2 separate regions of the Mus musculus genome follow, and region 2 is reported to be linked to region 1. Evidence: microRNA targets listed by miRTarBase, many of them from high-throughput screens and not tested one by one. Region 1 holds a microRNA gene; the other region holds the end of a gene's coding sequence.

The links. Region 1 holds the annotated microRNA mmu-miR-669n (AUUUGUGUGUGGAUGUGUGU, at 3,105-3,124, shown strand). A microRNA usually pairs through its seed, bases 2 to 8, with sites in the 3' UTR of a target mRNA and lowers its output. Matches are read on the target gene's strand: a 7mer-m8 pairs with bases 2 to 8, a 7mer-A1 pairs with bases 2 to 7 and ends in A, and an 8mer does both.
Region 2: miRTarBase lists Nrxn3 as a target of mmu-miR-669n. Seed matches in the 3' UTR shown: 7mer-m8 at 1,100-1,106, 7mer-A1 at 1,649-1,655 and 8mer at 1,923-1,930.

Annotation. Positions count from the first base shown.
Region 1 is chr3:115,976,801-115,981,875 of GRCm38, forward strand. Mir669n (microRNA 669n) reads left to right here and starts at 3,102; the gene lies at 3,102-3,155. Slc30a7 (solute carrier family 30 (zinc transporter), member 7) reads right to left here. Exons shown (of 11, transcript NM_023214.7): 7 at 4,962-5,012; 8 at 1,844-1,979.
Region 2 is chr12:90,331,817-90,336,891 of GRCm38, forward strand. Nrxn3 (neurexin III) reads left to right here. Exons shown (of 20, transcript NM_001198587.3): 20 at 1-3,119. The coding sequence ends at 594. Among named protein-coding and RNA genes, the nearest start is that of Gm40538, 74 kb to the right of the region's middle.

The sequences.
Region 1 (5,075 bases):
GTGCGCATGAATTTATCTATTATTTATTTTTTGTTTGTATAAGAAATGAGTAAGAAGATAACAAGGAAAACAATTCAAGTTGGAAATAGAAAATCTATAACTCTTTAGGGTGAAAAAGCCTAAGTTTTTCCACCTCCAATCTGAAGTGTGCCAGTTCCTTTGCTGGGAGGACCCTATGGTCACTTTATCATAGCAGGACACCAATTTGCCCCACAGAGCTCTAGAGAAACATAAGCAGACTCGGGACAGAGGGCTAAATGCTTTGGAAGGGGGCTTTGGTAGAAGGTGCTCCAGGGAAACTCCACACAGTGTGGAGGGCAAATCAGGAAATGTTCCCCGAAGGGGGATACTTCATAGGAAGGATGTGGACTTGGGGTACACACATCTAGAGAGCTGAGGGGAAAGGTGCATCATTAAATGCAGGAAGAGTTGAGAGAGGAGACAAGAACAGGAATGTGGAGGGCTTATTGCCATAGTTAGGAAACTGAAAAGAAAAGACTCACTAGAGAAGACAGAGATTGGAGGTGGGGCAGGAGAGATGGAGGGAGGGGGATTAACAAAATTAAACAATATCAGGAAGTCTCATTAAGGATTATGAATTTTATTCTGAGAGAAAGAGTGAGAAAAGGATAAGATAATTGCAGTATATCACATAATCCGCATCAAAGAAATGTCACTGCAGCATGACAAGAGGGGACAAAGTGGTCATCACACCAAACAATGGCGGTGGTCAGAATTCTGGTAACAATGAGTGGAGAAAGAGCAAGGGAAATACTACGATCATACTCTTAAATAACCATTAGGGGCAACTAACACTATAATATACAACACAACAGAGTGCCCTCGAAACACCCACGGCAAGACAGGTAGTCACAGAAGTGAGCAAGTCTGTCAGGAAGTGGTCACATCCAAGCTAATTCCCGGGAGTGTGGTAAGACCTCCAGATGAGGGAAAGGAATTCTGAGCTCTAGAAAGGCTTCCAAACACCAGCTGGATCCCTGTGCCAATATTTAAAGAATAATCTGCATGTTTAAAATGTATGTCTATTCTTAGGGCAGAAACTGAAAAACAACCACCTCTAACTTTAACACTGCAATCCCATGGCAATCTATTCCATCAATCCTCGTCAACACTGAGTTATGAAGTCTGCGGTCTTACTTCTCACCAGCGTTCATCTCCCTACAAAAGCTGCTGCTGCTGCTGACAGGACAGCTACAGAGAGATGATAATGCTCCAACTGAGACACACTATGCAAAATTTAAAATGATCAAATGCAGCAAGATAAAGGAATATAATTCTAGTGTTTTAAAATAAAAATGAAGCCAACAATAAAGTGTGTTTTAGGACAAAGGATTTTAGAAGATAATATTAACTACACAATGCACTGCAGCAAGTGGTCGTTGCAGATGGACCTCCCTACAGTCTTCATAGACCACCAGCTCCGTGGCTGGTGAGCAAGCGAAAAGACCAATGAAATGGCAGAATTAAAGATGGGTCTGGCAGGGGCAACACTGATACCAGGGTTTGACATTGTCAGTTCTAGATATAAACTAAAATCGTCTAGTTAATGACTTTACATTGCCAAGATTTTATTCTATACATACAGTGTATGGTTTAAGATTTGAATTATGATCAACTACTTAAATGTCAAAAATCAAAAAGAAATGTTAAAACTCCAGGCAAGATATAAATGGGAAAAGCTATAAGGAGAACTTGGATAGGACTTGTTTTAAAGAGCAAAGGGAACCCCACATGATAATCTGCACTGAAGGTGCCCAGCCACTGGTTCTGTTGTCACCTCCCTCTCACTTAGTAACAGATGGTAGCAGTCTGAACCACTTACCTTACAACTATAAGAATGGCTATAAGAATCGAACAGATAGGATCTGCTATCATCAACCCAAAATTTTGCATCATGATGGCAGAGGCAATTACACCAATACTTCCCAGTGTATCGGCTAGAATGTGTAAAAATACACCTAGAAAGAAAGCATAGGAGAGATTAGAATACTCAAGTGGGAATATTTCTCAGGACTATACTTAAAATATCTTACATATCAAGGAAAAAAAATCAGTCAGGAGAAGTACAGTAGTAACTGTGTAGCAGAATATTTATAAACTGACATAACTGTTTTCATACTGACCAGTTTAAACATCTAACTGGTAAATTATGCTCAATCTTAACAGAACAGTGAAAGTGAAGGAGTTAAAAAAAAAGAAAAAGAAAGTGAAGGAGTAGAGAAAATTAGTTTTAAATGCTGTCTGTGAACATTCACTCTTACTTTAAAAAAGGTTAAATAATTTGTTCTGGAAAGAAAAGAGCATCAGGTTTTAAAAAAAAAAGATGAAGAAAGCAATTTAATTTTGAATACATGAACACATAGAGCCCTCTGCTGGTGATTTAAAATACTGCTTAAGGAATAAAATTTTATATGAACCCTAACTCGACTTAACCTGACATTAATTATCCAAAACATGCCACTACCTAAATTTGTTATTATCCTCAAATACACCAAGCAAAAAAGCAGTTACCTGACTAGGACAAGAAAATACATGTTGAACCTTTGAAATTAAGTACTAAGTAGGACATAGTAGACTATTAAGGACTATATAGGACTATTAAGATTCATAAGTGATATTGGCCTGGAAAACCATAAAAATCTCAAGAAAGAAATTATATATGCAACTCTTTTTGAAACTACCTAAGACAGTAACTCACTCAATATGTAGATCTTTAATAAATAAAATTTATCACACAGCAAAGCAATCTATAAACATAGGTACCAATAAAAACAAAAACAAAGAAAAGCCATAAACCACCGGCCTTCAGCACAGCTGCCCTGCAGGGCACTGGTTAAGATGGCAGACATGCGACCAGCTTAGAAATTCACGTCACATTCCCTGAACGATCAAAGGTAAATGTGTGCCAATTAAAACTGAAGGAAACTTTGTAGCAGCTTAAAATTTGAGCACTACTGAGTCACAGTAAATCTTAACGTTTGCTGGGAAAAGACACTTCCCCTGCCACCGTGTGACTTAGAGCAGGGCGCAGCAAAGGGCACTCGGGCCTTTCACTCTGTGCAGACCACTCTGCAGATCTTTACATTTGTGTGTGGATGTGTGTGTAAATGTATGTGCATCCCACAGCACATGTGCAGAGGGCATTGGCTTACTCCTTCTACCACGTGGAGCCTGAAGACTGAACCCAGGCTGTCAGGTTTGGCTGCATGTGTCCTTATACAGGTACCTCACCAGCCCTGAGTTGTTCTGTAACAAATGGTATTCATTTGGGCAGATAAAAATGAAATGTGTATTTCCACTGGTAAATACTTGTAAATAACCAACTTCTCTATTGTACTTTAAATACCAAAGAATAATATATATATATACATATATATGTATCAAAAACACTTTGGTTTCAAAAACTAAAAAAAAATGAAAAAGATGGATATAAATCAATACAATTGAAATCCCTACATTACAAACTCCTAAATGTAATAACATAGTTTTAAGTTTCTATATTCTCCAATTAGTGTTTTGGTACGAACAGAAATAAAAATGAAAAAAAAATGGTGAAAATAATCTGTTATTCATTTTTCTGATGCTGGAAAGTCCCTGCCTCCATGTAATCCTAACCAGAAAGTGGGTCTCATTAGCACACATCATTACTCTTTTATAGTAACTATTCATGAAGAAAAATCTCTGAGGAAATACATAAAGTCTGTTTAAGTCACATAAGATCGAGACCCTCCAACATTGCAACACACCAATGGTCTAACGTATCTAAAACCTGGCTCACTAAGCTGAAGATGCGCCAACAACTGAAAGCCACATTAGCTGGAGGGGCTCATGTGCTGAGTGTCCGAAGAGCTCTTGGGTAGCAGAGCTTTTACATCAGGCAGTCACAGCTGCCCAGCAGCTTCCTCCAGGCCCTCTTGAGACCAACAAACTCATGTAGTTCAGAAATAGGAATAAAAGGGTACATCGAGCTTTTCTTCCTGCCATTTATGATGATTTTTCATAACTAAATACAAATTATTATCAAAGCCAATGATAGCACTTCATACGGCTATGTCAAAAATGTACAAAGACGCTTTTAAAAGCAATGCCATATATTTTGAAAATGGAAACCTGGTGACAGAAGGCAGCCTAAGCCTTCAGTATAGTGATCTCTTCAGTAATGGAGAAACACAAGAAGCAAGAACTCAACCCAGAAGCAGTAGAACAAAACACATGCAGGAGAGGCTAGATCTGGAGCCACTGAGAAAACCAGACCAACGTCGGCTTTAAAAAGCTAGGAGCAGGGAGGTTAGAACTTAAAAGCTTTGACAATACAGTCTAGGGGAAACTGTGAAAGACTGGGTTATAACCCAGAGGAAAGTACCAGAGTTCAGAGACAGAGTTTTCTCTAGCTGCTGTCACTTACGGAACACTAAGCTCCTGTTTAGGTATCAGTAATTGATGCTTTCACAGATGAGAAAGGTCTCACTGGACTTCATTCTTAGCTCTACAATTTAAGAACATATTGAACGTTACTCTTGGAAAAACTGTCATAATCTAAGGAAGCAGACAGGCTACCCTGAACTCACGACTGTAATAATCCAGGGAAGCAGACAGGCTACCCTGAACTCATGACTGTAATAATCCAGGGAAGCGAACACGCTACCTTGGACTCACGATAGTCAGGCCAGTACTTACCTTCAGCCGGGGTTGTCAATTTCTTGTATTTTTAAAATTAAATCTGAGAAAATAGACAAGTGGCAAAATATCGCTAATATACCTAACACAAAGTATAAGTGTGCATGTGTGAGTGAGTGTATGTGCGCGCACGCATTTATTAGGAAGGATAACACTTACAATACTGTTACCATCTACAGATATTTCCTTAAAAGAGAACTCCAGGCAACTTTACCATGAAGCCAGCTTCATGAAATTAAGAAAGCCACAACTGCTTGTCATACCTTGTAAAATCTGTCTGCTGGGTCCTGCCGTTGCTTTGAAGGATGGGCCATCTGTAGAGAATTAGTTAGATTATTTTAAAACATCTCTTCAATTCCTGATCCAAATGTTTGCAA
Region 2 (5,075 bases), not on the chromosome of region 1:
GGTGGCTACAAAGCACATGCGCCCAAGTGGGAATCCAAGGACTTTAGACCTAACAAAGTCTCGGAAACTAGTAGAACTACAACCACCTCTTTGTCCCCTGAGCTGATCCGCTTCACAGCGTCCTCCTCGTCTGGGATGGTGCCCAAATTGCCAGCTGGCAAAATGAATAACCGTGATCTCAAACCCCAGCCTGATATAGTCTTGCTTCCGTTGCCCACTGCCTATGAGCTAGACAGCACCAAACTGAAGAGCCCACTAATTACTTCCCCCATGTTCCGTAATGTGCCCACAGCAAACCCCACGGAGCCAGGAATCAGACGGGTTCCGGGGGCCTCAGAGGTGATCCGGGAGTCCAGCAGTACAACAGGGATGGTCGTCGGCATTGTGGCTGCTGCCGCCCTCTGCATCTTGATCCTCCTGTACGCCATGTACAAGTACAGGAACAGGGACGAGGGGTCCTATCAAGTGGACGAGACGAGGAACTACATCAGCAACTCGGCCCAGAGCAACGGCACGCTCATGAAGGAGAAGCAAGCCAGCTCCAAGAGCGGCCATAAGAAACAGAAAAACAAGGACAAGGAGTATTATGTGTAAACATAACACCACCAGTCGTATGCGAACTTAAAACAGAATTATTTCTATACACACACCTGAATACTTTGACAATGAGATTTAACTTGTTGAATGTGTTCTGTGAGATGGGGTGTACCACGACTATGGTGGGAAAAACCATTTTTTAAAGGACACATACGATGGTGTATCTCTCTGTGTAATGGTGAGCCATGCTGCAAGGTTGTAGCCTTGGCCCGAAGACAGAAAATTCTCTCTGCCCTGCTGTATCATAAAGCACACACTTAGTGCCCTGGAGCAAGTCCATGACTCCACATGACCTTGGAAGCTTTCTTCTCTCCAGAACATTTGGAAAGGGGTAGAAGACCATATGGCTTACTTGTTCCATAGCTCCAAGTGAGTCTGTAATAATGTTTGTGAATCTTGACTGTAACAATGTTGGGTTATTTTTTGTTTGTTTGTTTGTTTAATTATGTAAAAAAAAACAAAAACAAAAAAATAAGAAAAGAAAAACGCTTAAAAAAAAAAAACACAAACAAAACAAAACAAGAAACCCAGAAATACCCTTATCTGGTTCTGACCAGTGTGTGTGTAACTTTCCAAGATCTGAGGGGAAAATAGCTTTTGGGTTTTCATTTATTTTTTTGACAAAGACTGCACATAAGAAGAAAAGGAAAAAAATATACTCAGAAAAAAAGTATGAGACTCTTGCCATATGAACTCAAAATCTACCATGGCATTCACTCCATGTAGCAGGTTGTGGTGTCTCTAGAACCAATTGTTAGTTTCCTAATGCTTTGGTGAACCCATGTGGGATGACAAGCCGTTTGAAAAGCAGGTCCCCAGATCTAATTCCAATATTTGCCATTCAAACCTGTAACAGATGGGTTTGGGGCTGGTGTTATCGGAGCTATTGGTTTCACTTAACAAATACTGTCCCTGTCCATCAACCCAAAGTGTGTGAACGGGGAAATGTAACCCCCAAGAATTAAAGCAGAGCCTTTCTAAGGGAAGGAAAAAAGGGAAAGGGGGTGGACTGGATCTGTGAAATGCATGCAAACAAAGAAAAAAAAAAACCCACAAAAAAGAAAAGACAATGTTAGCATCTGTTTCAACAGACTGCAAGGGAGTTCCTAACTTGTAACACAACCACAAGTGGTCACACAAGCCTAGTCATGGCCAAGTGTGAAAAATCATAGTTACTTCCCCACCCCCAACATAATAACGGTTTCCATATGGTTTAACTTTGTAGCCTGATGTGAGTAAATCCTTCCCATCTCCTCATGTCTCCTTCCGCCCATCTTTTTTTTTTAAAGACAAATAAATAAATGAGTAAAGCTGCTGTGACACACACACAAAAGGAATTTAATAGTATAATATATATAAATAAATATATATACAGATATATTTATCATGGTATGTTTGATGGGATGACTGACACAGAAATCTGTTAAAGTCTTGAAGTGGAATGAGAATGTTATTTTAAAAGAAAAATAACAAAACAACAAAAAAGTAAACCTTAAAATGTGAAGAAAGTGTGAGTTTTCGTTTTGTCACAGTTAACTGTGTCAAAGAGAATTTAAACAACAAACAACAGAAACTTCTCAGATTTTGTTTACATATTTTACTACATTTTTGCTGGTATAATCCCTTAGTCGTGTATGTACCTACCGCTTTGAGAACTGTTATTTCCTTTCTGTCTGTTTATTTGGTTTGTGTCCCATTCTCTTTCTGTCTTCTTTTTGTAAAGAGGAAACAATGTACAGAGTAATTAAAAAAAAAAAAACAAACAAACAAACTGGTTTCATGGCCATAGCCATTCAAAAAGCAAGAAGATAAAGCAAGACACATACTCTCACAGAGGGCAATGTGTCATCTGGAGGGGCAGGCATATACAATTTCTTTTGTACAGATGAAAACCAATCAGCTGTTTAGATTTAGAAATCTACTCTTGCTGGTCTTTGTAAGTTGCATGAATATTTGACTTTGAAAAAACAATATCTTACAGACATGGGGCAGAAGGCACAGTCTAAAACAGTGGTAGCCTTTACTGATGTGTATGGAGAGCGGTGTTCCTCCTTATCTGAGATTTCAATGTTTTAAGAGTTTTCCTTTTTTTTGTTGTTGTTGTCATTAAAAAAGACAGGACTGTACAAGGATATCTAAGCACGATTTTAGATAAATGGCCCAGCCTATATGAAGTTGATTATATCTCGATGTCTGTGACAGATTGCTGTTCTTGGAGTCGTGAGATCTTGTGAACTGATATTCTCCTTTCTTTCTTTCCACTTTTTTTTAAAAATCGGAGTAAATACTCATTTGTTATATTCCTTTTAGTGTAAGTTAATATTTGGACAGTTTTACGGGAACTTGTGCATTCTGTACGAGAGCTTTCATTGGATTCCTGTTGTGTTCTTTGCAGACCCTGAAAGAGATTTTTTTTCATAATGTTGCGATGTTCCTGCTTTTTTCTTTTTCCTTTTCTCTTTGCTTTCCCATTTGCTTTTTCGTTCATGGATATGCTTAGCAATAAAATGTTCTTCCCAAAACCCTGTGTGATGGTGCATGTTTATTTTCTTAAAGTTGGTAAAAAATTTTGGGCACAGAGCTAAGTACATCATATTTTATTACAAGTCGAGAAAACTAGAACCACGTTCATGTGCTATAGGCTGTCCTGACCACGTTATTAATGCCAGAGTGATCCAAAGGGCATATTCACGAGATGAGCTAATCCCCAGTCTACCTGAGGTCTTTGGGTTCAGATTGCTGTGATGGACAAAGATGAGGAGAAGGTGCATTCCAGAAAGGTAAGATGGCAGAAAAACACTGAAAAACACTGCTGGAGGCTTTGCTATCAAAACTCTTTGGTAAGTGTTTTCTACAAGTCAAAACACTTTGAGCACTATTTAGTAATTATATTCAGACATACCCATAAACAGAAAGCTTTGGGTATCCTTTTTGCTAAGCTTCCCTTCAGAGTACAGAAGAAAATACAAAGCTTCATTGAATTATAAAATAAAACTTGAATGAGATTCTAAGTTTTACTAGTTTCTTTCTAGAGTTTCCACCTATCAGGTTCTTCATCTACTCAGTTTGGCTTGTACTGTTCTCATAGCAATGGAACTTTCGACACACATTTCATTTGCCAATGAGGTTGCACCCCATTTTGCACCATGATCCCCAATTTTATATTCAACTAAATAACTATCCTCTAACCAGTTCTAAAATATACCATTATGTGCCTTCAGGTTTTGTTAGTGGCATAGTTCTACAGTTGACTTTCTTGTGAATGGGTTGAAATCTGGTACAATGATGCCAAATTATATGAAGTTCTTTTTTATAATTATTATCTCAGATAATTACTTAATAATTACTTTTAAAAAATCATCAATGCTCATGATGTGCCAGGTACTCTGTTGCTTCTATCTATGGGATCTGTTAAATCTGCTTCAAAGATGTGAGAACACACCACAAATAGCTCAAGCAATGCTCGTTCAATACCTTTCAAGTCATGTTCATAGCCACATTATGTTTACCTGGAAGCCAATGCACAACACATAGACTCTAAAGGTGGAGTTGGTTGATGTCCCAGATGTACTACTGAGTATGCATGGCTCAATATCACAGACTCTCTGACATTTCTTTTCTGCAAAAGTATAGATGATAGATGATAGATAGATAGATAGATAGATAGATGATAGATAGACGGACAGATAGATTAAAACTTGGTGACTTAATTAGGCAAGGTAGGATTTTTAGGTTTGAAAATCACTTAAAGTAATATAAAGATCTTTAGTTTGTTTTCCATATAGAGAAGGTTCTTTATCCTAGCCTCTTTTGTGTTGTCAGTTGTGTCCTATTCTCTATGTGATAAGTTCCTTCTCTCTTTGGATATTCTTTATCCCAAATGAAACTCAGTAAAATAATTTACTTAATAATTATCAAACAGTATAGCCAAGTAATTTCCAGGCTTAGTAGGTATAACTGAGAAGCATATTCCCAACTACCAAACATATATCATTGACACATAGTTACACATGTGTGTCTAGCATAATTTAAACAAAGGTCTAGAAGTTTGGTTTAACAAAATAAGGACTTTTCTTTTGAAAAATGTTGAAGTTAAGAATTTTACAGCTAAATCTTGCATTGAAGTTCTCAGAGAGTAGCTTCCACTACAGTTCCCATGATGACTGAAGTGGTACTTGTTGGGGGACATTGCTACAAGTCCATTCACAGAAACAATGTTCCATTGTTGTTCAGTGAAAGAGTTGATATGGCACTGTCCCTTTCTGGTAAGTTTAAATTCTGCCCTGGGTTTGGGAATAAGAAGGCTTAGTTTCAAATCTGTCCCTCAATACAGGCCTGCTCTTTGTCAGCTGTGACACTTGACTCTACTCACCTCTTCTTGGAAACCATAAAGGTATCACATACCTTTGTAGTGTTGTCAAATTATGTAATCTAGTGTGGATATAATTTCTGAACACAATTCTTGGACCATAGCCATG